Linked DNA regions of Callithrix jacchus. The protein of the gene in region 2 interacts with the protein of the main gene of each other region in a pairwise test. Links are inferred from orthologs where the notes say so. Each region holds a gene or a part of one and is shown on either strand. Other genes may lie near its edges.

Region 1 (15,758 bases), on a different chromosome or scaffold from region 2:
CCCTCCCTCTCTGATGCCTCCTTTCTTGTTTGGGTATGGGAGGTGGGGAGGAATTACATGGTACATAGTCTGCCTTGGGCCAGGGGCGTTCAGAGGGGAAGGCAGAATAGCAAAGTTCCATGAGAATAGAAGAGCTCCGTCTCTTGAATCAGACAGCCTGAGTTCAAGTCCCAATTTGTCACTATAGTACGGGGTGGCCTTGGGCAAGTCATTTAATCAGTTGAACCTTAGAAGACTCCAAAAGTTTATGGTAACTCACAGAGCCTCCTAATGATGTTATCCATGGGAATGGACCTGTCCTGGAAAAGTAAGTGTATTTACACGTGCAAACTAAGGGAATAGCGTGGGGAAAGATCTTTGGCACCCGAAAAGCAACGGTTGTCTTGACAACCAGGCGTTGGAAGCCAGGGGAGGGTTGGGACAGAGCAGTTGCCAAGAATCAGCTTTTGACAGCTCCAAGCAGCAACTTCCGGCACTGAAGGCATGAATCATCGCGTCACTTCCTGCGTAAAGAGCCACTCGTGCACTCGAATTGGCTAGCCTTCCTATTTGGACGGACGTCCCGCCCTCTGGCTGTTTCCCGGCTGCGGTGAGTCTGTAGTAGAGATGGCGGCTCTGACTGACGTGCAGCGACTACAAGCCCGAGTGGAAGAGCTGGAGCGCTGGGTGTACGGACCCGGCGGGGCGCGCGGCTCGCGGAAGGTGAGTAGTCTGGTCCGATGGTCCGTTTCCGGAGCAGAGCAATAGCGGTCCACTGTCGTGGCCTTCGGGATGCAACCGCTCCAGTCCTGTTCTCCACAGCCCAGCCTTTGAAATAACAAAGGTCAGGGACCTCCCAGAGCCGATTGGACCCTCGGGGGTCCATTCTCATAGGGGGCTCTGCAAGTGGTTAAGCCTGAGAGTGGGCTCAGTACCTACTCTGACTAAGACTCCGTTCCGCCCTTGCCCTCGCGGGCTAGTAGGGGAGACCTGGCACACTCGAGAAGCTGACTAATGAGTTTCAATAAGAGCTGAAGTCCATGATAGGAAGGCCCGTCATGGAGCCCTGCGTAATTAATTGCCAAATGAATTGTGCAGGAAGAGGTCCATGGGACCCCTGAGGAGACAGAGCAGAGGTGCATAAGGAAAGGTCCAAAGGATGAGAGGTGAGGTCTGAAAGAGCCAGGATTAGGAAGGAATGAGTACTAGGTATTCAGATGTGGACTAGCACTACTTTATACTAGTGGTGGAATTTTGACAACTACGAAGCTCAGGTGCCCTCTCCTCCCATTTCCACTGTGGGAAGACCTTTTACTGAAGAACTTCTGATGACGTGTCAGGCATATCCTGGAGCTAAGTGCATCCAAGATAATGATGTCTGTTTGTACACGAAAGGAGGAATTAGTTGCCAGTAGCAGACTGCTCCCATTTCAGAACTAACTTCCCAACATTCTCTTCCTTTGGGATCTTTGATGCTCACCCTCCTGGTTTACCTTCTACCTCTCACTGCTGCTTCTCAGAATTATTTGCCTCCCTACTCGCATTCCTCACCCTCTGCCCTAAAGACTGGGTGAGTGCAGTCACTTCCTTAGTGTCCTCCATTTTACCCTTTAATACTGGGATTCCTTACATTCTACCCCTAAACTTTAGGTAGGCTCACTCGCCTTCATAGTGTCAATTACTATTTGCATGTCAATGTGTCTCAAATGTATATCTCTGGTGCAGATTTCTGTTCTGAGAACAAGACTTGTATGTCCAGTTGTTTACTGGATTCTTTTCCACTTGGATATCCAATAGGCACCTCACATTCAATTCATAGGTTCTTAACTGTACTCCTCCTCTCCCCTAACCCAGTTTTCTTCTGTATTCCCTAATTCAGTGATTTCACCATCATTGGGATCCCAATTGTCTTGGACTCTTACATCTCCCACACTAAAGTTATTTTGGAGGGGATAGGACTAGATGTAGGCCAGCCAGTCTAGAGGTCATGAAGGCTTGAATGAGAATGCTTGCATTTCTCATGCCCAAACCCAGGGCTTAGGAACTAGAAAATATATTGTGTATACAATATATTCCAAAAACTCTAAAATAGTTCATTATCTCCCCCATATTTGAATCTCCCCAAGGAGTACATGACTCTCTCTCTCCACTTTAAGGATTCCTAGAAGGTGGGGCTGCATTTCCTTTAGTATTAGAGAAGGGAAGCCAACCTAGAGAATCTGGGAGAAAAAGGGTTCTTTACCTCTTCCAAGCCTTGAGCCAGGTAGTATATCTTGCAATTAACTGCCACTTCCCTTACAGGTGGCTGACAGCCTGGTCAAGGTGCAGGTGGCTTTGGGGAACATTGCCAGCAAGAGGGAAAGGGTGAAGATTCTGTACAAAAAGAGTAAGTGCTTCCATGATATGCCTACCTGCCCAACATCCCATCCCTAGGCTTCCTGGGACCTGGCCCTGCCCCTTCAGTTCAATAGGTCACTGGAAAAGCCCTTTGGGGATAGAAAGATTACGGGGACACTTACCTGCACCCAATTTAATTGGTAAATTGAGGTGTGCTTTTCTACCTTGTGGATAAACCTCAAGCCCATGACTGTGTCCTTAGTTATGAAATAAGTGCTCTGCCTGAAAGCTTCTCTTGCTGAAGGAGGGTAAACAGGGTTTGGGATTTCCCAGGCAAGGTTAAGAGGCAGGAAACAAATTAGACACTGAGAGCCTGGTTATGTCAGAGCTAGTAACCTGCTTAGTAACTAGAAATTAGACAAAGCTCTGACTTGTCTTGGTGGCATCTAGGAGAAAAGAGGCCTTGGTGAGGATAGGTCAGTGAGAATGCTGAGGGCCCAGAGTGTTGGTGGCAATTGTGTTTTCAGCTCTGAAGCTTGAGGTCAGAAGAGACCTCAAGAGAAGAGAGTGGGGAGATAGAGAAGTGGGGATAGGGAGCCTGGTGGAGCCCTTCTCATGTGGCACTGTTGGGTATCAGCTCTTCATTGAAGGCTCTCCTCAAGGCTGACCACCTGACAAACATCCTACATAAGACAGCTCTACTCCCCAACCCTATTCCATTTTCCACCTCGCTACTTTTCTAGTTGAAGATATGATCAAGTACCTGGATCCTGAGTACATCGACCGCATTGCCATACCTGATGCCTCTAAGCTGCAATTCATCTTAGCAGGTAATGCTGGGCTACATGTGTACCTGCATCTGAGGATGTGGGTCATTGGGTAGGTTAAGCACAGAGATGGCCTCCCCATCCAGTCTTCTGATGGATACAACCCCTGGATGCTGCTTTCTGGAATTGTGGCCTGGTTTTGTGTTGAGAATCCTACGGATCCTCTAGTAGACATTGAGTACAGTATGCCTCTGGAACAGCTGCAGGCCATGGTGTCAGCCACAGTGGGAGCTAGTCCAATGTTCTATCACTAGCCTGCCTCTTGGATTTTCCTTCAGAACCTTCCTCACTTTTGCTCACTAGACAGATGAGCTTCTAGGAAAGGGTAGGGGCAGAGAGCATTGCTGTGAAAGAAAAGAGAGAATATTGGCATGAATTTCAACATCTTTCTTTCATGTGAGAAAGTGCTGCAATTTCAGAGTTCTAGGTAGGAACTATTGCCTTAGCAATGTCTGCTATCAGTCAGCCACTCTATAAGCTAGGATTTTCTGAGCTTCATTATTCATCCAAAAGATGTATAATGAATGATCATCTACTCTGATCCAGGTTCTATCCTAGGTGAGGAAGCATACAGTGGTTAACCAGAAAGTCCCTGCCCTCATGAGCACAGCCCATGCTAGGGGAGACAGAGTCCCTCCTGCTTCAGGGACCTGAGCTTTTAACCCAAATGTGAGATTAGTCTCCCAAAAGACTGATCAGTGCAATGCAGCATTGAGGACTGGATAAGATTGGGCAGCTCCTGCTAAGAGGGCTGTCAGAGTTCCCAAAAGGCTCTTGATCAATTGTCATGGCTTAAGCACCAAGTACAGATCTTCTACTGCACTGACTCTTGAGTCCAGCCTCTCCATGTCTCCCTGTGGCACTGCCTCAGGAACTATACATCCAGTGCCACACGAACGGTTGCACAGTCTCCTAAATCATACTCTTAACACTAATCTTTCCCTTCCTGCATGTGGTTCAGTCTCATTGTCACAAAAACATGTTTCCAACATGTTACTTTGCCTACTTTGGAATCTCCTGCCTTGCTAGGATAAAGTCCTAATTCCATAGTCTGCCATTCAAAGCCTTCCTCTGCCGGGTCTACCCTCCCATCTAACTCTGTTTCCTGTGTTCTCCCTGCTCCAGTTCAGCTAACTGAATTCTTTCTCCTCTACTAATTGACAAGTATTCCTGCCTCTAAGCATTTGCACATAACAGTCTCCCTCTTGAATACCTTTCCCACTCTATGGATTTCAGTGCATTGAAACCCCCTGTGCATACAGGGCCTACCCCAGATCCTGCTTTTCTCACTGGACTCTCCCATTACTGTCCCAGCTCTCCTTCGGCATATAATTCTCTATGCTCTGAGAGCCACTGAGCAGAACCTGCCTGGTGTAGTCTGCCACATATCTCCTTTTTTAGATCTTCCCAGGGACCTCTGGGTGTGGGGATCCAAGTCTGAAGTACTTTGTATCCTGTAGCCTAGGAGGTATTCCCTGAGTTTGTTGATAGGAGACTAGAAGAAGAGGCCTTGAAGTTAAACCTTGGAGAAAGGTGGGATTTGGAGTAATTGAGAGGCTCCTTAGGCTCAAATGGGTCAGACCTGAGGCATCCAGGAAAGTTGGGGGCAGAATGAAAATGTGCATCTAGAGAGGAGGGCAGCAGGCAGAGTCACTGCAGAAAGCTCTAGGACCTAGCTATCTCCCTTGCCAGGTCCTCAGGCCCTTACATGGGCTGAGTAGCAATGCCCAGATTTGCTTCACTGCAACTGTCTTGTCCATTTTTGCTTTAGAGGAGCAGTTTATCCTCTCCCAGGTTTCGCTCCTGGAGCAGGTGAACGCCTTGGTGCCCATGCTGGACAGTGCTCACATCAAAGGTATCTCTCCGGGGCTGCAGCATCACTACTGTGGTTGGGAAGGTGGGTGGATGGATGGGCAAGACTTTCTTGTGTTTCAGGTTGTGTGGATTCAGATTGGGTCTGTTCCTTATCTCTTTCTTTTTTTTTTTTTTTTTTTTTTTGAGACAGTCTCAATCTGTCACCCAGGCTGGAGTGCAGTGGCACAATCTTGGCTCACCACAACCTCTGCCTCCTGGTTCAAATGAACTTCCCACCTCAGCCTCCCAAGTAGCTAGGATTACAGGTGTGTGCCACTACACCCAGCTATTTTTAGAGATGGAGTTTCACCATGTTGGCCAGGCTGGTATTGAACTGCTGGCCCCATGTGATCCACCCACCTCGGCCTCCCAGAGTACTGGGATTACAGGCGTGAGCTACTGTGCCTGGCTAGTTCCTTATCTTTATTCTTACCCTGGGGGTACTTGCCACATCCACTGGATTAAAATTACCAGAGTAGAGAGCCCAGTTTTAGGACTTTAGGCAATTGGGGCCTGAGAACACTAGCCTAAGCTCTAGCAGTCCCCAACTTTGGGGAGTCCTTCTGCCTTCTACCCACCCCCAAGCATCTCTCTTTCAAGGTGCTGCAGAACCCAGATTTTACTATCAGAGTCTCTGCCAGGTGCATGAATGTATGTGAGTTCTTTCTGTGCTGCACTGCTGAGAGCAGTCCCTGGGCCTGGACTTTGACAAGCAGACAGTGGCTTTAATTGAATCCAGATATCCATCTTGTCTGTCTCTGGAGGTATTTTTCCCAGCTCCCCCTCCTTACCTCTGATCAGCTGCCCACTGAGTATCTGACAGCCTTAAGCTTTGAGCCCAGCATGGTAGCTGAGCCTCAGGGTGTTGGATTCCAGCTTAGGGACCTGGCATCCATCTTCAGGCTTCCTATTTCCTAGGCTAGGCAGACCTGGCCCCGCTGGGCTGAAAGCAAAAGGACAATTCCCATGATAGCCAAAGCTCTCTTTACCTGTTCCTGCTTATAGCACTGGGGTGGGGTAGGGGACAACACTGGGAACCCCAAGGTTTTTTCTTCTCCTCGGGACATGTATCTTCCCCTCCCCTATGGGTCCTGGAGTAAGACTGGAGTGGGCAGGGAGCCCCACCGCCACCTCCAGCTGCAGTGGTCGATGAAGTCTGGCGTTTGTTTAGCTTCTCCACTCAATACTCTAATCCTGCCAAAGACCTAATAGACTATTGAGCAGTCCCAGGGGAGGGCACAAGCATCATCCAGCAGTATTCGTTGTTTTACAGCTGTTCCTGAGCATGCCGCTCGCCTGCAGCACTTGGCCCAGATCCACATTCAGCAGCAGGTATGGGAGGGTAGAGGACTAGAAGGGAAGATAGAGGTGGCACAGCCCCTTGTCCCCACTCTTGCCACCTGGGGAAGCAAGTTCAGGCCCTTCTGATGTACGCTCAGAGGAAACTTTGGGGTTTATCCTTTATCTTCCATATGTCCCAGTGAAGTAAAGGGACTTGCCTAGGTTCATGTCCAAACCTGCCTCCCAGAGCAGGGCTTTATTGAGACACCATAAGGTTGAGGCTGGGAGGTACCCAAGAATTCCTGGGGATGGTATGTCCTTGACTATGAGTGGAGGAGCTCTTTTTTCACTATTCCCAGGCCCTAGTGTAAAGTTCAAAGAGAGTTCAAAAATAAGGGCACAAGAAGAGGAGACATACACTAGGGGGAATGTTTACTTAATGTATGGCCACTCCCTTTTCGATCAGTCTTTGAACTGCTGTTAGGGCACCCATCCTGGAGCCTGAAAGTTCTCCCATAGCCATTTGTTCCTTTGGCTTTGGGATTCAGCATCATCTTTTTTAGGCTCTATGGGGAGTGGGAGTCCTTGATGAGGCAGGAAGTGTATTGTAAGATAAGGGCTTTACCCAGCTCCTTCCTATGCTACACTTTGGCCCTACAGGACCAGTGTGTGGAGATCACTGAGGAGTCCAAGGCTCTCCTGGAGGAATACAATAAGACTGTATCCTTTCTGCTCAACTAGGACCTTGGGTGTTGTCCCCAAGCCCTGTCCTTCTGTCCCACCGCTAGCTCTCTCTCATCCCATCCCACCCACCTGTATTTGCCTTCTCCCCACTTTCCATGCACTTCCTCACTCAGACGCCTATTCTCTCCTTGACCTACAACCAGACAATGCTTCTCTCCAAGCAATTCGTGCAGTGGGATGAACTACTTTGCCAGCTAGAGGCCACCAAGCAAGTGAAGCCAGCAGAGGAGTGACAGCTGCTCCCCATCCCAGGGTGGGCCTGGGCAGTCAGGCTCCAGGGCCCTATGCCAACCCACCTTTGTTACAAGGCAATGGACGCTTTGTATTTATTGGATCTGAGGCCCACCTCTCTGTACTCAGGTGGGGCTCTAAAGTTAGAGGTCAGGTTACCTGAAATTTCAAATTTGCAACGCCCACCCTCTCCCCCATCAGTGTTCTTATTCCAGTGAAAATAAACCATAGAGATGACTGGAGGAGTGTGCTGGCTTCCTGGTTTAGGTTGGGGGTCGGGGGAGGGGCAGAGGTGTCAGCCCTAATGGCTGGACTGGGAAGTAAACTCATCCTGGTCTGGCTTTCTGGCAGGTGTAGCACTCTCAAGATGAAGGCTCTCATTTGATGATGTGAATGGGATATTCCTTTATATATCCATTTAACCCACGTTTACTAAGAAGAGACCTCCAAATGTCAGATGATGGGAGTAGATGTGGCTAACCTAATCCCTGCCCTGCACTAGCTAGCAGTATACAGTAAAGGAAAAGGGCAGTCCTATCAGGTGGGCACAAAAGAAAAAGGGACTGAAGGGACCTGGTAGGTGATGTGCAGGGACTTTCAGAACCAAGGAAGCAGCATGTGCAAAAGCAGAGAAGAGCCTTTAAATTTCTCTCTTGGGAGCCTACCTGGTGCCACCAGCCGAGAAGGGCAGCCTAAGAGGTTTGGATGCAGGAAGCTTTGGTCCTGGGGAGGGGAAGTTGGGAAGTAGGGGTGCTGGGGCAAGCACGTTGAGAAACAGATTGGCCCCGCACTCCACCAAATGTTTGCTGCCCCCTTGTGGATTCACGGAGTGCTCTGGCTCCAGACCCTTTTTCCAATGGCCCGCTGACTGCCCCGCCTGCACGACCTCACCGGCACCTCAAATTCTGCGTGTGCAAACTGGTCTAAAACCCGGGAGACATCCTGGATCGGAATTCCCTACTTCTCCGTCCAAACAGTTGCCAACTCGAGACTGAACCTACCTACTAGTATCTCCCGACCTAATCTTTTTTTTCCATTCCTACTACTTTTTCTCTGGTTCGTTAGTTTAACAAATCATTTAACAAATATTTGAGCGCCGATCATACGCCAGACACCATACTAGGCTCCGTAGGCACCCCTGCCCTCTCAGCCCCCAGACTCCGCGGCCAGGTGTCGTCAGGGGCTGCGGCCTGATTTCCCCACCACTCCTCGGCTCTCTGCACAAGATCTGGTTCGACAAGCCGCTGGAAAACCCCCGTAATCCGCCAGCGCCCACAGGATGAGGCTGAAGCCCAGAAGTCGGTAATTAAGGCTCTCACCTCTGCAACAGCGGCCTGGGAACTAAACTCATCCTGGTCTGGCTTTCTGGCAGGTGTAGAGCTCTCAAGATGAGAGCTTTCAAGATGAGCTCCAAACTGAAGCTCCTGCTCGCACTCACTGTGAAACCCACTGCTCCCCTTTTGCTCAACAGGTAACGCCAGCCCTCCCCATCTTCTAAGAGCCAGATTCCTCTCCTTCAGACGCAGGACTTCTCTGACGGCTACTCCTTTCTACCGCAGGATATCTTCCTGCCTCCCTCCAGGGCGTTACAGTGGAGACTGCGCTAGTGTCCCAGCCCCACTGGGACTGCTCCGTAGCGGCCTTGCGGGTGGTTCCGTTTCCCGGCGGAGGCGCCTCGCGGCCGGACCCTCAGGCCCCGCCCCCTCGGGGCGTGCGCGGCCCCGCGGCCTTGGAGCTTCTGGGCTCGCGCGCCATCTTGGCTCCGGATCGGCAGTGAGGCGGCTTCGGTGAGAGCTAGAACCTGGCAGGCAGCGGGGCGCTCGGAAGTGGTGGGAGAGGGGACGCCTGCTGCTTGACCGCAGCGGCCGGCAGGACCCTGGAAACGACCAGGGCTGTCTTGGAATAGCCCGAGCAGCCTTCTGAGTCGAGCCTCTGCCCCTGAGTTTCTGAGTGACCTGGGTTGATATGGTTCGACCCTGGTAATCTCTGGGAGAGCGAAGTCAGTTCTGCTTGGGGGCAGCACTGGGTAAGGGTCCTTGGTTGTTTTCCGGGGGCCCTGGGGCGAAGTGCCTTGTCCCTGTCTTTGTAATCCCCCAAGTGACTAGCGCTCTCTATTGGTATTAGTCTGGGGTGAGGGTTCCAGGCCCTGTTCCAAGGAATCCAGGATAAGCGGGACTAGGCTCCAGTTCTGAAGAGTTTCGGATGAGGGGGCCTGGCGTTATCCCAAGAGCTCGGTGTTTGGGGAATTTGGTGTTGCCTCTGGGACTCCAGGATTGGAGGTGGGGGTGTTATGGCCCTTGTAGAGGACGGGGGTGTGGGGGCTACAGCCCCTTCCCAGAGTGAGGCAGGCATGGCCCTTGTCATGAGATGCTAAGGACCAGGGGATACGATCCTGTTTCTGGGAAGTCTGGAACGGGGAGCAGGGCCACATCCTGAAGGGAGGTAAGGGATGGTGGACAGTGACCTGGGCACATGGCCTAGCACTCATCTGATGCTTCCGTGCAGTGGGCAGCGAGAGTCACAAGACAGCAAACTGATGGAGCACTACCGGAAAGCTGGCTCTGTGGAACTCCCAGCACCGTCCCCAATGCCCCAGCTACCTCCTGATACCCTTGAGATGCGGGTCCGAGATGGCAGCAAAATTCGCAACCTGCTGGGGCTGGCGCTGGGTCGGTTGGAGGGCGGCAGTGCGCGGCATGTGGTGTTCTCAGGTTCCGGCAGGGCTGCAGGAAAAGCTGTCAGCTGTGCTGAGATTGTGAAGCGGCGGGTCCCAGGCCTACACCAGCTCACCAAGCTACGTTTTCTGCAGACCGAGGACAGCTGGGTCCCAACCTCACCTGACACAGGGCTAGACCCCCTCACAGTGCGCCGCCATGTGCCTGCAGTGTGGGTACTGCTCAGCAGGGACCCCTTGGACCCCAATGAGTGTGGCTACCAACCCCCAGGAGCACCCCCTGGCCTGGGTTCCATGCCCAGCTCCAGCTCTGGCCCTCGTACCCGAAGAAGGACTTGAGATACCCGATCCTGAAGACCTGCTCAGCCAGGCTGTTCTCCAGGCCTGAATGTCTGAGATGTGTGTCTTTTCTGAAAAACCCTGTGACTGCTAGACATCCCCATCAAGGCTCAGATCCACAGAGGTGGGCCCCCTTGTCCTGCTTCCCCTTCTCTCTGGTATGTGGGAAGGGACTGCTGTGAAGAGTGACAGGTGTGGAGCCTCTGCCAAGTTCTGCATTGCTAAAGAAGGGTTTACTCTGTCTTCTACCTACAGTGCATCTGAACTGCCTTCTGACAGAGGTCCAGGGAGGGATTTAGAAAATAAAGTTTCTACCTATTTGATGAGACTCTACTCAGCCTGCTATGTGGAGTGGGATTAAAGAAATGGGAGTCCCTGCCCTTAGCCCCCGGGAGCTGATTGGGTGAAGAAAGAGGAAGAGTAGGCTCAGGCTGATGCTGGGAGGATCTAGTGTAGATAAGAAGCCTCAGTCAGTACTGAATATAGTTAATTCCCTGGGTAGTTGTTTGTACCGTTTTTGGGCTGGTTTAAGAACACTGTCAGGTCAGACATTTCTCATCATCTGCAACATACAGTATAGTATAGTGGTTGTGAGCATGGACTCAGGCACCAGCCTGCCTGGGTTTCAGTCCTGGTCTGCCACTTAGCAAGTTACTACTCTGTGTGCCTTAGTGTTCTTATCCATAAAACAGGAATACAATACTGTTTATCGCATAGGGTTGTTACGAGGTTAGATAAAGAAATACGTGACATTTAGAAACCACCTTGGCGCATAATGCTATTAAATGTTAATTACTATTATGATTATTAATGACTTACCTATCCCAAATGCAACAACTATCTCACATGTCCTTCCCTCCAGCTTCCTTGCCCTGATCTCAACTGTGGAACTGGACTCCTGCTTTGAAGAGATAGAGGCCTTCTGAACTCCCTCATGTTCCATCTTCACCTCCAGACCTATCTGTATACACATTTATCCTTAACTCTGCTAGTTTGCAAACATGCTTTTTTCTATCTTAGAAACATATCTTTGGGTTGGGCACAGTGGCTGATGCTTGTAATCCTCCTGAGGCAGGAGGATTGCTTGATCCAGAAGTTGGAAACCAGCTTGGGCAACATAGTAGTGAGATCCTGTCTCTACAAAAACATCCAAAACTTAGCTGGGCATGGTGGTGTGCACCTTTAGTCCCAGCTACTTGGGAGGCTGAGGCAAGAGGATTGCTTGAGCCTGGGAGGTTGAGGCTGCAGTGAACCATGATTGTGCTACTGCACTTCAGCCCAGGCAACAGAGTGAGACCCTGTCTCAAAAACAGAAAACAGGCTGGGCGCAGTGGCTCATTCCTATAGTCCCAACATTGGGAGGCCGAGACCAGCCTGGCCAACTTAGTGAAACCTATCTTTACTAAAAATACAAAAGATTAGCTGGATGTGGTGATGTGCACCTGTAATCCCAGTTACTCGGGAGACCAAGGCAGAAGAATAGCTTGAACACAGGAGACAGAAGTTACAGTGAGCCAGGATCGCACCAGTGTACTCCAGCCTGGGTGGCAGAGCGAGACTCTGTCAAAAAAAACAAAACAAAAAATACTTCAATCCCACATCTCTCTTCAGGTATCATCCTTGCCTTTTTTCCCCTTTGCTGCTCCTTTTCTGCTTCACCTTGGCCTTAAACTCTCAGGTCAGGGGCATGAGGAGAGAGGTGAATGTTGCATCAGTAGCCGGGGGCCTATGGGAACTAGAGCTGGATTACGGGCAGTAGTGAACTCTGAAGAACTGAATCAGTTGGGTCTCCCATGGATCTTGAGATTTTCTCCAATGTGTCCAGCAGCCTGGGTGTCCAGTCATGAGGAAAGCAGAAGGTTGGGGCTCTTCTGGGCTCACATTGTAGTAGAGTGGGCCCAGCAATGTAAGGATTTTGAAATGATACTTAACTGAGACCAGGCAAGACGGATTGAGATGTTGGGAGAGGGAATTGGGGAACTGAAGGTCTTGATAAGGGCTTAGAGGAGGGGTGAGGTGACCACAGGGCCAGCAGGCAGTGGTCAAAACTTTAAATACTGCATCCTTTGCTTTCAAAGATAGGTCAGCTCTGAGTGATGTGGAGGACCCTGGGGGAGGGCAGGTGATGAGGATTCAGATGATATTAGAAGAGAAAATCTCAGTAGCTGCTGAGCCAGGCCTATCAAATGCCCAGGTTGTGAAGCATCTAATACACCCCTAAAGGCAATTATGGCTGCAGTGGCAGTGACTCAGGTGTCGCTATCAGCAACTGACTGACTTCCCCCATTCTCCTCGAAGCTAATTCAGGAATTTTATTCCCTCTCAGCTTCTGCATACTGTTTTTTCTTTGAACATCTTCACTTGTGTGTCTTCTGCCGTCAGCAGTTCTCTGAGTATCATGGGATTTCCAGAGCTTTGAGGCCAGGCAGGCTACCTTGCACACTACTGACCTTTAGCTGATGATCTCATCCCATCTACTGATGGCCAGGGTGGAGGGCCATGGAATAATCATGGTAATCTGTGCTGAGGTAGCATTGCAAGTTCTGGAGTCCCAGGAAGGGCATTTTCTCTCCCTCTTTGGTGGAAGGGGTGATAGATAGCAGGAAAAGAATGTGGAGTACAAAGAGTGTTGGTTTTTGTTGTTGTTGTTATTGTTGTAGTTTTTAATAGACTAGCAGGGACTTTAGCATGTTTATAGGCTCACAGACAGAAGAAGCCAGTAGGAAAAGAGATGATGAAGGATGCAGTAAATTGTGAATAACTCACAGTATGATGTTCCTGAGCAGGTAAAAGCGAATGGGACCCAGAAGCATGGTGGTAAGGCCTCCAAAGGGAAGAGGAGGGATAACTTCCTGTAACAAGAGGGATGGAGTTAGGACGGATATGTATGCAGATAGGTCTGGAGGTGAAGATGGGACATGAGGGAGTTCAGAAGGCCTCTATCTTCTCAAAACAGAAGTCCAGCTCTACAGCTGAGAGTGGGGCGAGGCAGCTGGAGGGAAGGATGCGTGAGATGGTTGTTGCAGTTGGGAGAAATGACTAGGGAGAGGTGCAGGAGGATGACCAGACAGGGGTAAAAGCCCAGTGTAGGCTGATAGGGTTGTTGGTCAGGGTGTGTGAGCTCTAGCAGTACCCACGGGATAGGTGAGGATTCAAAAAAAGCACAGTTACATTCTTCCAGACTGATTTTAAGATAGGCAGGAATGATGGAAGATTAATGAGGAGACTAGCAAGAGAGTACATGTAGTGAAGGACCAAGGCATCCAAACTGTGCTAGGAGGGAAGTGAGGGAAAGTGGACAGGGGACAGTGGCCTGGAGATCCCCATGAAGATGGGGTGGGGTGAGATGGACTATCCCAGGACAGGAATGCTATAGCTGTATGGGTTTCCTAGGCTGCTGTAACAAAGTGCTGTAAACTGGGAGGCTTAGAACAACAGAATTTATTGTCTCACAGTTCAGAGCTGGAAGTCTGAAATCAAGGTGTTAGCAGGGCCACACTCCCTCTGAAATCTGAGGGAGAATCCTTTCTTGCCTCGTCCTCGTGATTTGCCAGCATTCTTTGGCAAGCTTGACTTACAGGTGCATCATGCCAATCTTCACATGGCATATGCCTGTGTCTGCACCCCATCTTACCTTTTTGTGTGTCTTTGTGTCCAAATTTCTCTTTTTTGTAAGGACACCATTTAATACTGGATAAGGGCCTGCCCTAATGACTTCATTTTAACTTGGCTATCTCTATAAAGACCCTATTTCTAAATAAAGTCACATTCTAAGTTACTGGGGGTGAAGATATCAGTATTTGGTTTTGGCAGGGGGTGGGCAGTGGGAGTGGAGGGCACACCTAAAGAGTGGGAAGGTATTAATAAAATTGAGGGTTTTCAGAGCTGATAGGATTTGTGTCCATGAGAGTGGATAGCTGGAGGGCCTGGAGGAAGAGTCACTGAAGATGAAGCTGGTGAGTTGAGGCTGGGAAAGGTGAGGTGGGGAACATCCTGGTGGGCAATGGAGTCATCCAGGATGGAATGTATTGAGCATTCTCACTACCTGTCTTAGAGGTGGCATGTCTAGCCACCTCCTGTTTGTCCCCCTGAAATCGGGACATCAGAACACAATATGCCTGAAGGAGTTATGTGCCTCCCATATCCAAGCAGGCACCAAGTTCTGCCCATTTTGGCCTCTAGGTCTCCATCCCCAAAGCCTCTCTTGGTTTGTGCCACTCATCATCTCTTGGCAGTTTCCATACTGGTCTCCATGCTTCACTCCCCCCAGAGCTCTCCCCCAAGCCAAGCTGCTGGCTATTCCCTTTGTTTAGAATGCTTTTCCCCCAATACTTGCATGGTTCTCTCCCTCCCTCCTTTAAGTCTTTGATAAAATGTCACCTTCATGGGGTCTACTCTGGCCACTTCATTTAAAATTGTAGTCCAGCACTTTCAATGTTCCTTACCCTGCCTTTCCCCCTCCCCCAGTTTTTTTTAACCTCTATGATATGTACATCTTTAAAATAACACTTTTGTTTATTGTCGCCTCCTGATGAGAATGTAAGCTCCAAAAGGGCAAGGATCTTTGTTTCATTCCCTTATGTAACCTAAGGATCTTGAACATCACTTGGCATATAGTAGATGCTCAATAAATATTTAGCAAGTAAATGAATAAATATTGAGCCCCCCTAATGTGGGGCCATACTCAGATCTGACCTTGTCATTTCTCTATTCCCTTAGTCTCCATGCCAAGATTAGAGGACAGGATCCAAGTTCATTCACTAGGTGTTTTTAAAGGACCCCTTTGCTTGGCCTCTGCCCATGGCTTAGTCCATCTTTGGCCTTGGACCCTAGGCTCCAACTACACTCACCCTTCCCAAGTGTCATAAGATTTTCTGCCTCTGAACCTTTGTCCTTGTCATTCTATCTGCTTGGAATTCATCACGAATGTTCAAAGGACACTGGTGCACTGAGCACTCCCTTGGGGACTACCTCCCCTCTCCTCACTGTAATTGGCCCAGCTTTCACATTGATAGGTGATGTTCTGGCTACACTCACTTCTGACTTCAGCCACAAGGTGGCAGCATTTGCAAAGGGATAGCCCATTCCTTTCCAGGGTCTGTGCAGAAGGCCTCAAGAGTCCCAAGACACAGAGACTTGGAATTTGATCCTTAATGTGCTCAGTGACCCCTCAGTTATTTAAAAAACAGCTAATGATCATCCACAACGTGACAAATTTAGCCACTGGGCTCGGAACCTCCAAACCCACGAGGGCTATAACCACATATGTAATTTCCCTATGGAGGCCGGGCGCAGTAGCTCACACCTGTGATCCCAGCACTTTGGGAGGCCGAGGCCTGTTAATCATCTGAGATTAGGAGTTGGAGACCAGCCTGGCCAACATGGTGAAACCCCATCTCTACTAAAAATACAATCATTAGCTGGTCGTGGTGGCGCACCCTGGTAATCTCAGCTACTTGGGAGGCTGAAGCAGGAGAATGTCTTGAACCAGG
Region 2 (16,275 bases):
TCAGAGCAGAGGGACAGTGCCCTTTCATGGTCAGCAGGCCCCTACAATGCTCACTCACACTGAACTCTTCATGCTGACCCCCAGCCCTTCTCTTTCTGACTTCCTCTGATTTTGGGGAAGTGGTCAGGGATTTTCCACGGGAGGGGGAAGAGATGATCTTTCTGCCCCAGTCCACCAAGCGTATGCAGAACTCTGAGCAAGAACAGCTGATCTCACATGGCAATGCTGGACCATGAGTTAAGCCAGGACATCTCGTGTTGTCCTCAGCCTGCAGCCAAAAGCCCAGCAAGAATCTGGCACTGGGACAGGCCCAGTGTCCCAACCCTGGGACCACTTCCCTCAAGAAATCTCTGAAAGTTCTTTGGGCCTCAGTTTCCTTATCTGTAAAATGAGGAGATTGTGCCGTATGTTCTCTGTGTTCCTTCCAGCCCTGACACCATCACGTGGGTCTATGAACCCCCGTGGGAGGCAGAGGCAAGACGATCCTGATGCTCACCCCAACTCCACACCTCCCTCCCATTCCCACCCTCAGTCTGCCCTGAGAGAAGGAGATCAGAGCCACTGGAGAGAGCCGTATTTTGGAAGGCAGGCTCCATCCTCCGCAAAGGTCCACAAACGGGACTGGGTTCTGGCTCTCCAGGGAGAGGACTGCGGGCCTAGTTCTCCTCTCTCCTGTTGTCCTTCGGAGGGTTGTCTCTAGAGAATTATCTAGTTCCTTCCCAATCACTTTCCCATTTTCTCCAAGGTCTACGCCTGGAGGGAAGGAGGTACAGGAGATTCCCTGCGGGCTTACCTATTCAGTGGGTCCTCGAGCTCCCTGCCAGGCCCCCAACTATGTCTTTTGAAGAGGTCATAGTTTCGGCTGTGGGCACGGAAAGCCCCTGATCTTCGGAGGGGTACAGCATGTGAGCCATTCCCCTCCTTCATTTCCCCCACCTCTTCTTCCTCCAGTTGCTCTCTGGATTCGACGGCAGAAAGACAGCGGCGAGTGTGGCCTTGGGGCACCTGGTCTCCACCTTCGAGGAACACCTCTGGGACGGCTCTGTCCATGGGAGACATAGGTGGGCCAGTCTGCATCAGGAAGAAAGAAAAGGGTGAGCAGTGTTCTAGAACTTTGGAACCTTGGAGCTAGAAGCGTGTCACAGTCAGCTGGGCTTGGGAGCATCTAGCCACCCCTCACTTTACTGAGACACAGAACTGGAGAGTGTGTGGCTCAGGGTCACACTGTGAATCAGCTGCACAGTCAAGGCTGGAGCTTAGGTTTTCTGGCTCTCAGTTCAGTGTCTTCTCGTACGTAAAGAGACCCTCATTGTCTCATCCTTATTCCATTTACTGAAGATCCATACAGCAGAAAGCCAAGGAAAAAGAAATGGATATTGTTCCTGTCCTCAAGGATCTCAGTCCAGTGAGTGGGTGAGTGTGTGTGTGTGTGCACAAGCGGAAGGACAAATCACAAATGACTCCGTCACCGGCTCGCATGTGCCAAATGCCGTAAGAGAAGTTTCAACAAAAGGCTGTGGGCTGTTAACTGAGTGAGCGCATAAGTCCAGTTGGGAGACAAAAAAGGGAAACAGACCAGGTGTGGTGGCACACCCACAACTTTGGGAGGCTGAGGCGGGGGGATTGTTTGAGCTCAGGTGTTCCAGACAGCCTGGGCAACATAGTGAGACCCTGTCTTCACGAAAAATAAAAAGTTAGCTGGGCGTGGTGGCATGTGCTTATAGTCCCAGCTACTTGGGAGGCTGAGGTGGGAGGCTCACTTAAGCCCAGGTGTTCAAGGCTGCAGTGAGCTATGATCATTCCACTGCACTCCAGCCTGGGTGACAGAGCAAGACCTTGTTTGCTTTGGATTGTTTTTTCTTGTTTTGAGACAAAGGCTTGTTCTGTTGCCCAGGCTGGAGTGCAGTGGTGTGATCTTGGCTCACTGCAACCTCCGCCTCTCAGATTCAGGTGATTCTCCTGTCTCAGCCTCCTGAGTAGCTGGGATTATAGGCGTGCACCACCATGCCCAGCTAATTTTTGTATTTTTAGTAGAGACTGGGTTTTGCCATGTTGGTCAGGCTGATCTCGAAGTCCTGACCTCAGGATCCACCCTCCGTGGCCTCCCAATGTGCTGGGATTACAGGTGTGAGCCACCGCACCCAGCCTTTTCTTCTTTTTTTGAGATGGAGTTCCGCTCTTGTTGCCCAAGCTGGAGTACAATGGCATGATCATGGCTTACTGCAACCTCTGCCTCCCAGGTTCAAGCTGTTCTTTTGCCTCAGCCTCCTGAGTAGCTGGGGTTACAGATGTATGCTACCACCCCTGGCTAATTTTTTGTATTTTTAGTAGAAATGGACTTTCACCATGTTTGCCAGGCTGGTCTTGAACTCCTGACCTCAGGTGATCCACCTGCTTTGGCCTCCCAAAGTGCTGGGATTACAGGTGTGAAGACTTGGCTTTATTTTTGTTTTTAAAGGGAGTAGGAACAGAAGGAAATACAGGGCCTTTGAGATGTGCCTGGAGGGGTAAAGTGGTTAGGATTTTCCCAGGGAAGAGGGAGAGGATTTTAAGTAGATAAAATAGTTGGGGGAAAGGTTCATGAGTGATAGCGTTGTGATTTCTTCCTTTTTTTTTTTGAGACGGAATTTTGCTCTTATTGCTCAGGCTGGAGTGCAATGGCTCCCAAGTTCAAGCAATTCTCCTGCCTCAGCCTCCCAAGTAGCTGGAACTACAGGCACCTGCCATCATGCCCAGCTAATTTATATATTTTTAGTAGACATGGGGTTTCTCCCTTACATATTGGCCAGGATGGTCTCGAACTCCTGACCTGTGATCCGCCTGTCTTCGCCTCCCAAAGTGCTGGGAATACAGGTGTGAGCCATTGTGCCTGGCATGATTTCTTCTTCCAAGAGTCTGGTCTTATGGAGAGTGAAAGCCATTGTGACCTCTCCCCACGTTGCAGAGAGGAGGGCTCCAAGCATCAGCCTCAGAGCACACATTTCCTCCACTGTCTCCCCAGTGGGCATTGCTCTCACTTCCCAGCACTCCTGGTTGGCATCAGGGCTGCCGCAATGTGTCTCAGAGTTAAGAACACTCAGATGCTCTTAAAGTTGAAAATGATAAACCCCACTCCAGAAAGAAGTGCCAAGTCCCAGAGTACCAGGGGCAGGAAGGGCAGGAAGGGCAATAACATTTACTGCATACCTCTGTACACTTCACTCCTAGGCCATGTCTCTCTAGACCTTCTGCTAGAATGAGTCTCCCAGGCTCCCCTTCTCCTGGGAACACTTCCAGCTACTAAGATGTCATGAGTGCCCAGAAGGATCAGGAAGCTGGGACCCAGACCTTCCCTCTTTCCAGGCTTACTGTGGGGCTGTCAGACTTCCTCCAGGTTGTCTTAACCACCCCGGGAAAGTCCAGGTTATTGGAAAGTTGTCCCTTCAATCTACTTTCCTCCCTCATTGCAATCTGTCCACTGCCTTCACCCCAGCCAGAGCTGCTGGGAAGAAAGTGCTGTGCCTGGGGTGGCTGTGTGCCTATTTACCACGGAGACGGGAGGGAGGCAGGTACTCAGTCCTCTGCAGATGGCAGCTGCTCCCCCGCTGGGAGGGTCTAAGGGAAGAAAGGGAGAAGCCTGGGAGAGTGGCCAGGTCCTGTGCCCATCCGTGCTCATCGCGTCTGGGAGCAATGGACGGGGAAGCCCTCAGCCAGCCGCCAGGAGAGACCCTCTCCCTTCTTGCCTACAAACAGGCCTTGTGCTGGCTACACACAGGATGAGCAGATCTACAGGAAGCAGGTCAGAGCTGAGGGCCACGGCAGGGTCCCTCCCAATCAGTGGCCTCCAAAGCTGAGATTTGGAGGCAGAGGGAGGTTGACAAAAATATTATGAAAAGCTTGGGTGGAAAAAAGAGTAGGAACTGGAGATATACTAGGAAAAGGGGAATGGGGGCTGGAAATAGGACGGAAACTGAGAGGCAGTGAGGGGGAGGCAGGGACACCTGGGTGGATCATGGGAGGTCTGAAATTCAGGGACCTCCCAGAAGCAGAAAGTTGGTTTGAACTGTATGCCCTGTACCCAACCTCTACCTGATAGCCTTGTTTCAGCCTGTGCCTGCAGGGTTAATTTTTTTTTTTTTTTTTTGAGAGAGAGGACCTCTCTCCTCTGTCACCCTCAAGCTTCAAGGCTTACAGCAGCCTCCACCTCTCAGGATCAAACAGTCCTCCCACATTAGCCTCCTGAATTGGTAGGACTGCAGTTGCATGCCACCACATCCAGCTAATTTTTTTTTTTTTATAAAGATGGGGTTTCACCATGATGGCCAGGCTGGTCTTGAACTCCTGACATCAGGTGATCCACCCACCTCGGCCTCCCAAAGTGCTAGGATTACAGGTGTGAGCCACCATGCCCGGCCTAAATTTTTTTTTTTGAGACAGAGTTTTGCTCTTTTGCCCAGGCTGGAGTGCAGTGGCATGATCTCGGCTCACTGCAACCTCCACTTCCCTGGTTTAAGCAATTCCCCTGCCTCAGCCTCCCAAGTAGCTGAGATTACAGGCACACGCCACCACACCTGGCTAATTTTTTTTTGTATTTTTAGTAGAGACGAGGTTTCACCATGTTGACCAGACTGGTCTCGAACTCCTGACCTCAGGCAATCCACCTGCCTTGGCCTCCCAAAGTGCTGGGATTATAGGCATGAGCCACTGCGCCTGGCCTCCAGCTAATTTTTAAATGTTTGTTTTGTTTTGATTTAGGTGGAGTTTTGCTCTTATTGCCCAGGCTGGAGTGCAATGGTGTGATCTCAGCTCACTGCAACCTCCACCTCCCGGGTTCAAGAAATTCTCCAGCCTCAGCCTCCAGAGTAGCCGGGACTACAGGCATGCACTACCACACCCGGCTAATATTTGTATTTTTAGTAGAGACAGGGTTTCACTATGTTGGCCAGGCTAGACTTGAACTCCTGACTTCAGGTGATTCATCCACCTCAGCCTCCCAAAGTGCTGGGATTACAGGTGTGAGCCACTGCACCTGTTTTTAAATTTTTTACAGAGATGAAGTCTCACTATGTTGCCAAGGCTGGTCTCAAACTCCTGGGCCCAAGCGATCCTCCTGCCTCGGCCTCCCAAAGTGCTAGAATTATAGCTGTGAGCCACTACGAATGGCCTGCAGTGTTTAATTTGGCAAGATGAAGGAAATGCAGTGAACTGGAGACCTCTAGTTTTCTTCAGTCCCTGCAGGTATTCCTGCTGGAGATAGGGTCCTGTCACCCCGGCCCCACTGACAGACACCTCAGCTCTTATGATCTTTGTGTAACTCATCCTTCTTCCTCCCACTCAGACCAACTGGAGTCCGACCTCTTCTCAAGATCTACCCTTTTTCCAGCATTGCTGTCATTTCATTCATGGTCTCTGCCCTCTGTGAAAATGAAATCTGTCTGGCAGTTTCTCCCTTACATCCTCATCTCCACTCACCCTGCCTCATGCCATGATGCCAATATTTTTTTTTTTGAGACGTAGTTTCCCTCTCATTACCCAGGCTGGAGTGCAATGGCTCGATCTTGGCTCACCCCAACCTCCGCCTCCTGGGTTCAGGCAATTCTCCTGCCTCAGCCTCCTGAGTAGCTGGGATTACAGGCACACACCACCATGCCCAGCTAATTTTTTATATTTTTAGTAGAGACGGGGTTTCACCTTGTTGACCAGGATGGTCTCGATCTCTTGACCTCGTGATCCACCTGCCTCGGCCTCCCAAAGTGCTAGGATTACAGGCTTGAGCCACCGTGCCCGGCCCAGTTTTTTTTTTTTTTTTTTTTTTTGAGACGGAGTTTTGCTCTTGTTACCCAGGCTGGAGTGCAATGGCGTGATCTCGGCTCACCGCAACCTCCGCCTCCTGGGTTCAGGCAATTCTCCTGCCTCAGCCTCCTGGGTAGCTGGGATTACAGGCACTTGCCACCATGCCCAGCTAATTTTTTTGTATTTTTAGTAGAGACGGGGTTTCACCATGTTGACCAGGATGGTCTTGATCTCTCGCCCTCATGATCCACCCGCCTTGGCCTCCCAAAGTGCTGGGATTACAGGCGTGAGCCACTGTGCCCGGCTGATGCCAATACTTTTATTCTGTCCCTCAGAGGGTTGAGGTTTAGTAAGGGTTCCTCAACTCCCTCCTAGCAGTATTCCCTCCTCCACCATCTGAAATTCAGACTGGGACTCCAGTCATCCTGTTGCTTTTCCTTCCATTAGCTTAACTCTCCCAGCCCCCCTCCCATTTTCCCTCAGCCTTCTGAGCTCAGGAAATGGTGCATGGGAAAGGCCAGGGCTGGGTCTCACACAATGGTTTTATTTAGCTCTAGAATGAGATCACATTATGTCATATCACTGCTTCCGCTGAGCAGAGAGATAGGAGATTCTGAAATAGGTCTGGGATCAGATGCTTGAGACGGGGAGGTGGGGGGTGGGAAAGCAGAAAGGGGCTCTAAGAAGTCATTTCACTTGTCATCCTGCCTCTGGATGGAATCGTCTTCCCACCACTGCAAACCATCAGCGTGTCCTGTCCCTTCCTCCGAGTGTGTAACCTTCACAGATTGCACTAGTCATCAAAGATTTCTTAGGCATTCTACTGGAAGCTGGATGGGAATATGTATTTTAATAGAGAGAGAGACATCTGTTACTCAAAACTCTGAGACTGTAATTTCTTTAGGGCGCTACAGCTTTGAAGTCGGTCAGATTTGCTAGCTCTGCCCCTTTCTTTTTTTTCTTCAAGACAGTCTCACTCTGTAACTGAGGCTGGAGTGCAGTGGCACGATCCTGTCTCATTGCAACCTCCACCTCCTAGGTTAAAGCAATTCTCCTGCCTCAGCCTCCCAAGTAGCTGGGATTACAGGCGCCTGCCATCACGCCTGGCTAATTTTTGTATTTCTACTAGAGACGGGTTTTTGCCATGTTGGCAGGGCTGGTCTAGAACTCCTGAACTCAGGTGATTCACCCACCTCAACCTCCCAAAGTGCTAGGATTACAGGCATGAGCCACTGCACCCAGCCTAGCTATGCCACTTTTTTTTTTTTTTTTTTAAGAAAGGCAGACTGCCACATGCAGCACTTCATTTGGATGTGTCTGGAGCTATGCCACACAACCTTGGTAACTTATCTTTTTTTCTTTTTTGGACCCAGGGTCTGGCTCTGTGGCCAAACCTGGAGTGCAGTCTTGATCAGAGCTCACTGTAGTCTCAAACTCCTGGGTCAAGCGATCCTCCTGCTTTAGCATCCAGTAGATGGGACTACATGTATGTACCACCACGCTCTAAGTTCAAAAAAATTTTGGGGCTAGGCACAGTGGCTCATGCCAGTAATCGAGCACTTTGGGAGGCTCAGATGGGTAAATCATGAGGTCAGGATTTTGAGACCAGCCTGGCCAATATGGTGAAACTCTGTCTCTACTAAAAATACAGAAATTAGCCAGGCATAGTGGTGGGTGCCTGTAATCCCAGCTACTAGGGAAGCTGAGGCAGGAGAATAGCTTGAACCTGAGAGGCAGAGGCTGCAGTGAGCCAAAACTGTGCTACTGCACTCCAGCCTGGGCAACAAGAGTGAAACTCCATCTAAAAAAAAAAATTTTTTTAGAGATGGGGGTCTCACTGTGTTGCCCAGGTTGGTCTTGAACTCCTGGCCTCAAGTGATCCTTTTGTCTTGGCCTCCCTAAGTGTTGGGATTAGAGATATGAGCCCCTGAGCCCAGCCCGGCCAGTGTTTTTGACCCTCAGACTCATGTATAAAATGAGAATGAGAGGTTGGGTGCAGTGGCTCATGCCTATAATCCCAGCAGTTTGGGAGGGTGAGGTGAGTGGATCACCTGAGGTCAGAAGTTTGAGACCAGTCTGACCAATGTGGTGAAACCCTGTCTTTACTAAAAAGACAAAATTAGCCAGGCACGGTGGCTCACGCCTGTAATCCTAGCACATTGACCAGGCTGGTCTCAAACTCCCGGGCTCAACTGATCTGCCTGTCTTGGCCTCCCACAGTGCTAGGATTACAGGCATAAACCACCTCGCCTGGCCAAAACTTACTTTGTAAGGATGTTGAAAGACTTGATGATAATGTATGCAATGCAACGAGTGCCCCTTACATCTGTCTTTGGTACATATTAGGTGCTCAATAAATACTATTATTATTTTATTATTGTTACTTAGGGGTCATAGAGACAACAGGGCATGTTGAAACAGAGAGCTAGAAAGAAAGAGGCTCAGCCGGGCTTGGTGGCTCATGCCTGTAATTCCAGCACTTTGGGAGGATGAGGCGGGTGGATCACGAGGTCAAGAGATTGAGACCATCCTGGTCAACATGGTGAAACCCCGTCTCTACTAAAAATACAAAACTTAGCTGGGTGCGGTGGCGCACACCTATAATCCCAGCTACTTGGGAGGCCGAGGCAGGAGAATCACTTGAACCCAGGATGTGGAGGTTGCAGTGAGCCAAGATGGCACCACTGCACTCCAGGCTGGCGATAGAGTGAGACACTGTCTGAAAAAAGAAAAAAAAAGAAGGAAAGAAAAAGAAAAAAGGAGACCCAAGATAGAAGCAGAAATAGGCATTATATGATGGTGACCCACCGTTTTCTCTTAGAGAGAGAATAACCCATGGGTGACACTAACGTAGCTATGATGGGAACAGTTCTCATAAACAGCTCCTGATGGGAAAGCATGTATGCAACCAGAACAAGAAGAGCAAGAAGAAATGGGAGCTTTTTTGTTCTTTGGGACCCTGTTGAGCCCTGATATAGATGTCCTCTTCAAGGAGAAGAAAGGGATAGAATGGCCTCTGGAAATTTAAAGCAAGGGTTAGCAAACTCTAGCCTCTGGGACAAATCTGTCCTGCTATCTTTTTTTAATAGGTGAAAAAAAAAAAGAATACTTTGAGACACAAAATTATATGAAATTCAAATTTCAGTCCCCATAAATAAAGTATTTTTGGAATGCAGCCATGCTCAGTCATTTACATATTGTCTATGGCTGTTTTTGCATATCAACAAAGTTGATAGTTGCAAAAGAGAGCCCACAAAGCCTGATGTATAGATATATCCTGAGTCTGGGATCCTAATATATATATATGTGTATTATATATATATATATATATATATTTTTTTTTTTTTTTGAGGTGGAGTTTCACTTTTGTTGCCTAGGCTGGAGTGCAATGGCATGATCTCAGTTCACTGCAACCTCCGCCTCCCAGATTCAAGAGATTCTCTTGCCCCAGCCTTCAGAGTAGCTGGGACTAAAGGCACGCACCACCACTCCTAGCTAATTTTAGTATTTTTTAGTAGAGACGGGGTTTCACCATGTTGGCCAGGTTGGTCTCAAACTCCTGGCCTCAGGTGATCCACCTGCCTCGGCCTCCCAAAGTGCTGTGCTGGGATTACAGGCATGAGCCACCATGCCTGCAGCCTTGACTTTCCAGGCTCAAGCAAGCCTCCCACCTCAGCTTTTGGAGTAGCTGGGACTACAGGCGCATGCCATCACACTGGGATAATTTTTGTATTTTTTGTAGAAACGAGGTCTCACTATGATGCCCATGCTGGTCTCAAACTCCTGAGCACAAGTGAAATGCTCATCTTGGCCTCCCAAAAGTGCTGGGATTACAGGCATATGCTACCATGCTTGGCCTAAAATATTTGTTATCTGGATCCTTACAAAAAAAGTTTGTCAACTCCTGATCTAGAGCAACTGGGTCTCAAAATCTTAGGAAGGAGGAGAAAAAAGATAAAAGAGGGACGTGAAGGCTCACTACACACCAGACATTCTGTAACCTTTTCAGGAAGAAGGGACACTGAGACATTGAGACCCCAATATACCTACGTCCTGGTTTTTTTTGTTGTTGTTTTTTGTTTTTTTGAGATGGAGTCTTGCTCTGTTGCCCAGGCTGGAGTGCAATGGCGTGATCTTGGCTCACTGCAATCTCCACCTCCCAGGTTCAAGCAATTCTTCTGCCTCAGCCTCCCAAGTAGCTGGGATTACAGGCGCTTGCCACCACGCCCAGCTAATTTTTGTATTTTTAGTAGAGACGGGGTTTCACCATGTTGGTCAGGCTGGTCTCATACTCCTGACTTCTGGTGATCCACCTGCCTCGGCCTCCCACAGTCCTGGGATTGCAGGCATGAGCCACTGTACCCAGCCAACATACCTACTCCCTAAATGTCATCTGAGGCCTATGGAGAGAGATAAAAATGAGTGTCAACATCCATTTTGTGCCATCCTCAAAATATTTCTTGAAATAGACATTATTATCCCTGTTTTACACATGAAGAAACAGGCTGCATAGGTGGTGGTGCGTCTGTAATCCCAGCTACTTGGGAGGCTGAGGCAGAAGAATCGCTTGAACCCGGGAGGTGGAGGTTGCAGTGAGCTGAGATTGTGCCACTACACTCCAGCCTGGGTGACAGAGTGAGACTCTGTTTCAATAAAAAAGAAGAAAAAAAAAAAAAAGAGGGCTCACAGAGACCTTCAGTAACTGGCTGGAAGTTACACAGCTGCTAGGAGGTGGAGATGAATTTTCAAAGCTGATCCATCACATTATGGAGCCTAAATTCCTTTCTGAAACCAGAAAACAAGCTCCCAAAGAGAGCAAGTGGCTAGCTTTTTTTTTTTTTTTTTAAGACAGTCTCCCTGTGTCACCCAAGCTGGAGTACAGTGGCACAATCTCGGCCACTGCCTCCCAGATACAAGTGATTCTCCTGCCTCAGCCTCCTGAGTAGCTGGGATTACAGGCATGCACCACCATGCCTGGTTAATTTTTATAATTTTAGTAGAGATGGGGTTGCTCCGTGTTGGCCAGGCTGGTCTTGAACTCCTGACCTGAAGCAATTCAACCATCTTGGTCTCCCAAAGTTCTGGGATTACAGACCTGAGCCACTGCGCCTGGCCTATCAAGTGGCAAGCTTTTCTTTTTTTTTTTCTTTCAAGATAGAGTCTCACTCTGTCACCTGGGCTGGAGTGCAATGGCGCTATCTTGGCTCACTGCAACCTCTGCTTCCCAGGTTCAAGCAACTTTCCTGCCTCAGCCTTCTGAGTAGTTGAAATTACAGGCACCCACCATCGTGCCCAGCTAATTTTTGTATTTTTGTAGAGAAGGGGTTTTCACCATGTTTCCCAGGCTGGTCTTGAACTCCTGACCTCAGGTGATCCGCTCACCTTAGCCTCCCAAAGTGCGGGGATTACAGGCATGAGCCACCACGCCAGGCCAAGTGGCTAGCTTTGAAAGAAATCTGGCAACACTGTTTTTACCCACCTTATTCCTACCTCCCTGACCTCAGCCAAAGAAAGGAAGCAGCTTCCAAGAGAAATAAGACAAGGGTCCCAAAGAAGTGAAATGTATCCTTTCGTCAGCTTAGGCCTCTGAACGAGGTGATGGGGAACAGACGGTGTTTGCTGGTTGTGTTTGCTGCCAGCAAACACTGAACATCGGGGAGGAACTGCTGGAGCAACCACACAGCCAGGCGCTGTGGCCTGGAGGCAATGCTGGCTGGCCCTTTTGCAGCCTGAGCAGCTTTCTGAGTTTGGCTGTGGGATCCTAAATCTACCAAGGTGGCCGATGTTGGAGAAGACCCAAGAGAACTGGATAAGAAAGACTGAGGAGGAAGAGAGAGGGCAAATGGCATGTCGTACTGGGCTCTCCTCCAGATCTCCTGGGCACGGGCAGGGGTGGGGGGAGCACAGGGTCACAAAAACTCTTTGATGGTTCAAAATTTAACCTAACATTTCTTCTCCTGTAGAAAGTAAACCATTAATCCAACAGTGCCCTGCAAAGAAGGTAAAGCAAAGCTTCTCTTCACCTCAGATAAAGAAGGTCCCGGGAGATACAGTGCCTTCCCACCTGCTCCCTAGATACCCCATTCCAGGATAGGAGCACCCGAGTCTCTGATACCCTCCTGCTTCACCCATCTGCCTGACTTGGCTGAACGCAGGTGTCCTGGAACTCTTTCTCTCACCTTCCTGTCCACTGCCAGAGAGTAGTAAAATTCCAAAAATGAAAGGCAAGTAAAAGATACAGAGGATCCATTCATTCAGCAAAGATTACTTTAGCACCTTCTAGGTATTAGGCACAGAGAAGAGGACCCAGAAAGGTCTTTGCACAAACACAAACACAATGGCGAGACCTGGCTACTATCCCTCAGTGGGGCAGAGGCCAGTATGGGCAAAAGCCATTTGTCCATCAGCTTCCGGGTTGTCTCCTGAGAGACACTGTATGCAGAGGCCAGTATGGGCAAAAGCCATTTGTCCATCAGCTTCCGGGTTGTCTCCTGAGAGACACTGTACTTAGTTCTGGAATTTCAGAGCATCTGCAGAACTCTAATGTAACCGCACCCCGCCCCACTAAGCCAGCTGCAGGCATCTCAGACGCTCCCCCTAAATCATCCCCGTGTCGTTGATGTACTAGTTTCATAAGCTGGTCAGGAATTTTGCTGATCTGGGCTTCCAAGTATGACCCCCTTTTTTTTTTTAATTGGCTAGTAAACTGAACTTAGGGACCCTGCCCTCTTCCCTTCTGCTGGACCTGTAGCTGTATGCTTAGTCCAACAGGGGCTTGGGACCCAGAATAGCCCTTCGTCTGTGGGGGACAGGGAAGAAAAGGGTCAAGACCAACCTCCTGCCAGTTCCCTGGCATGTGTTCTGGGTGCTACGCCAGACGGGTGGGGCAAGAGAGGGTCTGAGGGTAAGGACTCAGGAAGGGAAGAGGGAAACTCACCAGACCTGGGAGATATCCCAAAGATGGGGGACCTGCTTCTGTCCTCAGTTGGTGACTTTAGTGCGGGACAAAGTCCTGTTTCAGGTGGCCCCCTTAAAAACCCAGTCCAGCACCTTAGTTGGGGGCACCTCTCTCTTGGTCCTTTTAAGGGAGCTGCTCATGGTCCAGAAGTTTGCATAGGAGAAAGAGGGGACTCAGTCCAGTCCAGACCAGCTGCCTCTTCAACCACTATAGCCCTTCCCTTCCCCGCCCCACTTCAAACACCCTAAACAGTGCTGTGCCCAGGCCCTTAACCCTTTCAGTGCCACCACTGATCCCAGGGACTCCTGGGTCCCTCTGTCCTCAGCATTTCCTGAACACAGAGTGACCACATAGAATTTAGACTTGTGTGGAAACAGGTATAAGAAGCCATGCTGGGGTCACCCTGAGGAGAGAGTATGTAGGAACCTGACAGCCCAGGGAACATTCACCCTCCCTCCAGGAGGGTCAGGGAGAAACTGGGGAGGGGAGAAAGCAGACATCTCAGGGAAAGAAACAGCTGCCACTGGAAACCTACTTAACAGCAGGGTCCTCAGCGGGGCAGTGGGGGGGTTCTTCATCCAGCTCCAAAACTGATGGTCCACCAGGCTCCGTGGCTCATGCCTATACTCCCAGCACTTTGGGAGGCCGAGGAGGGATAACGAGGTCAGGAGTCAGAGACTAGCCTGGCCAACATGGTGAAACCCGTCTCAACTAAAAATACAAAAATTAGCCTGGCGTGGTGGTGCACACCTGTAATCCCAGCTAATGGGGAGGCTGAGGCAGGAGAATCAATTGAACGTGGGATGCACAGTTTATAGCAAGCCAGGGTCACACCACTGTACTCAAGCCTGGGCAACGGAGTGAGACTCCATCTCAAAACAAACAAACAAAAAACCCTGATTGTCGGTCCCTTTAAGAGGCAGGTTACGGCAATGGAGGAAAGATTGTATTTTTTTTTGTGATGAAAGTACAGGGTGGAGCGTTACAAGGCAGCTGCACTGAGAAGGGCCCTAGCGTCAGCACCAGGAACCGAAGTGACCAAGCAACTCAGCATACCCAGGGCTCATGGCTTGTTGTGGATACCAGCGGGATATTGACTGGCTCCTCCACTCTCTTCCCAGATAACAGCTTCTGGGGCGGGGCAGGGGCTGACTCACCTTCTCCGCTTTCCCTGGGGCAGAGGACAGCTGGGGCGGAAGTCGGACTTCCTCAGGTAACTGGGAGCCCTCCTCACCTCCTGTGGTCTGGTAGAAAGGGCAAGTTGGAGTTGGAAGATGGCTGGGTCTGCCAACTCACTAGTTACAGGGCCCTGAGTCCCCTATGTAGCCTCATTTCCTCATCTGTAAAATGCAGATGTTAAATGAGACGTGCAAACCAAGTCCAAAAGTGGAACATAAATGCTGGGTCCATAATAAATAAATATGCTAGCTGCCACTGGCTGGGCAACCTTGGACAAGCCGCTTCAACCTGCGTCTTTCCTGACCTATTAAATGAGAGGATTAAATTAGGCAATCTATGGTCTATCCTTGCTTGAAAATTCTGCTGCCAGAGGCAGAACTGTGTGCCCTTCCCCACCTGGCTGGGCCCCACCCCAACACTGAGAAAGTGACAATGGCTGTTCCTCAAGTTCCTCACTTCATAAGAATACAGGGGTGATGCCCGCCCTATCATACTGGTGAGGGGTCCTCAAAAATCCTCTAATTAAACAATTTTGTGTTTGTCCAGATGAGGAAACAGGCTCCAAGATGGAAAGCTATTATGTGTCTATATATAATTTATATATATAATATATAAATAACATGTTGTGTGTGTGTGTGTGTGTGTGTGTGTGTGTCTGTATAATTTTTGGCCAGGCACAGTGGCTCACGCCTGTAATCCCAGCACTGGGAGGCCAAGGCAGGCAAATCACGAGGTCAGGAGTTTGAGACTGGACTGGCCAATATAGTGAAACCCCCTCTCTACTAAAAATACAAAAATTAGCCAGGCATGGTGGCATGTGCCTATAGTCCCAGCTACTTGGGAAGCTGAGGCAGAAGAATCTCTTGAATGCAGGAGGCAGAGGTTGCAGTGAGCCAAAATTGTGCCACTGCACTCCAGCCTAGGACAGAGTGACAGAGCGAGACTCTGTCTCGAAAAAAAAAATTTTTTTTTTTCTGTTGAGATAGGGTCTCACTCTGTCACCCAGGCTGGAGTGCTGTGGCATGATCATGGCTCACTAAAGCCTTGAACTCCTGGCTCAAGCAGTCCTCCTGCCTCAGCCTCCTGAGAAGGGGGCATGATTTACCTAAGGCCATACAGTCAGTGAATGGTGGAGTTGGGGCTGGGACCCAGTACTCCTGCCTCCATGGCATATGCTGCTACTCACCCTCAGCTGCTCTTTCAAGAGACTACACCTTGGTAACTTCTCACCCTTTCACTGAATCACTCCATTACTTCCAGCTTGGTAGATTTTTTTTTTTTTTTTTTTTTTTGAGATGGAATCTCACTCTGTCGCCCAGGCTGGAGTACAGTGGCACAATCTCAGCTCACTGCAACCTCTGCCTCCCAGGTTCATGCAATTTTCCTGCCTTAGCCTCCTGAGTAGCTGGGACTACAGGCATGCACCACCACAGTCAGCTAATTTTTGTATTTTTAGTAGAGACGGGGTTTCACCATGTTGGTCTGGGTGGTCTCGAACTCCTCACATCCTGATCTGCCTGCCTCGGCCTCCTAAAGTGTTGGGATTATAAGTGAGAGCCACCACACCCTGCCACTTTGTAGAAATTCTTTTACCTGTTTCCCATTTACTTTCTTCGAGTGTCAAAGCTGATTACAGGAAGGGGGCGGAAATCAAGGTACCTGGCTCCTCCTGGTACTGGGGCAGGGTGTGTGCGTAAGCAGACACCAGCTGAAAGTCTGCACAATGAGGGAGGGCTGGAGGGCTGGTCTCCAGGGGTGGGGGCACCTGAAACAGGCTGGCGGCTGACCTATCTGTATTGCCTTTTAGGGAGGAGCCTCAGTTTGGTACCCAGCCTCCAGGAAGGATGTGGGATCACTGCTTACTTTCCTCTCCCCTCACAGGTCTGCACACAATCCTGAGATCAAGGTCCATGCCTCTCTAGGGTGGTTTTCAGTCAGAGTGGAGGAGTGTTGTCTGCCACTCATCCTCCTATTAAATTACCTCAAGAAGTTAAGAGGGCTCAATCCTAAAGCCAACGATTCCAGCTAAGACTGTCTATAGATTTTAGAGGCTCTTTTATTCTCCAACACCACTACTTAAGGGAGGTTCACATTCCATCCTGACTCCAAGAAAGTTGATCTCTTAGGAGATGAGGTATCTAGCTTTGGCCTTTTTTCAAGGTGCCTGTGACACCAACTGCCTTTACAATGCTTCTCTTGTCACGTGTGTCAGGCCTGGGTTTCCCTCCTAGTCGCCCTCTCCATGACAAGGGCTAGGACACAAAGTGCTGAGTTTTGTAAGGGAAAGTACAATAAAGACACCCCAGCTTTTGGGAAGAGTTCAGATTAAGGAAGAAATCTTACAGACAGTCCCCGACTTACGATGG

What was found.
Region 1: the proteins of ARHGEF2 (region 2) and RPP25L interact in binary tests that used the Homo sapiens proteins (3 or more experiments, as listed by UniProt). The two-hybrid records come from large-scale screens. The link is inferred for Callithrix jacchus from reciprocal best matches to the Homo sapiens genes ARHGEF2 and RPP25L.

Annotation. Positions count from the first base shown.
Region 1 is NC_133502.1:141,472,430-141,488,187, reverse strand, and holds RPP25L (ribonuclease P protein subunit p25-like protein), read left to right. Parts: upstream 1-8,993; 5' UTR 8,994-9,040; exon of another isoform or gene 9,041-9,279; intron 9,280-9,758; 5' UTR 9,759-9,789; coding exon 9,790-10,266; 3' UTR 10,267-10,589; downstream 10,590-15,758. Other genes in the region: DCTN3 (dynactin subunit 3), read left to right, coding at 607-702, 2,281-2,365, 3,060-3,146, 4,915-4,998, 6,271-6,329, 6,939-6,998, 7,166-7,255. UniProt on the Homo sapiens protein: May be a component of ribonuclease P or MRP.
Region 2 is NC_133519.1:16,370,921-16,387,195, forward strand, and holds the start of ARHGEF2 (rho guanine nucleotide exchange factor 2), read right to left. Parts: upstream 12,940-16,275; 5' UTR 12,710-12,939; intron 1,414-12,709; exon of another isoform or gene 1,179-1,413; intron 1,074-1,178; exon of another isoform or gene 1,072-1,073; 5' UTR 1,060-1,071; coding exon 794-1,059; intron 1-793. UniProt on the Homo sapiens protein: Activates Rho-GTPases by promoting the exchange of GDP for GTP.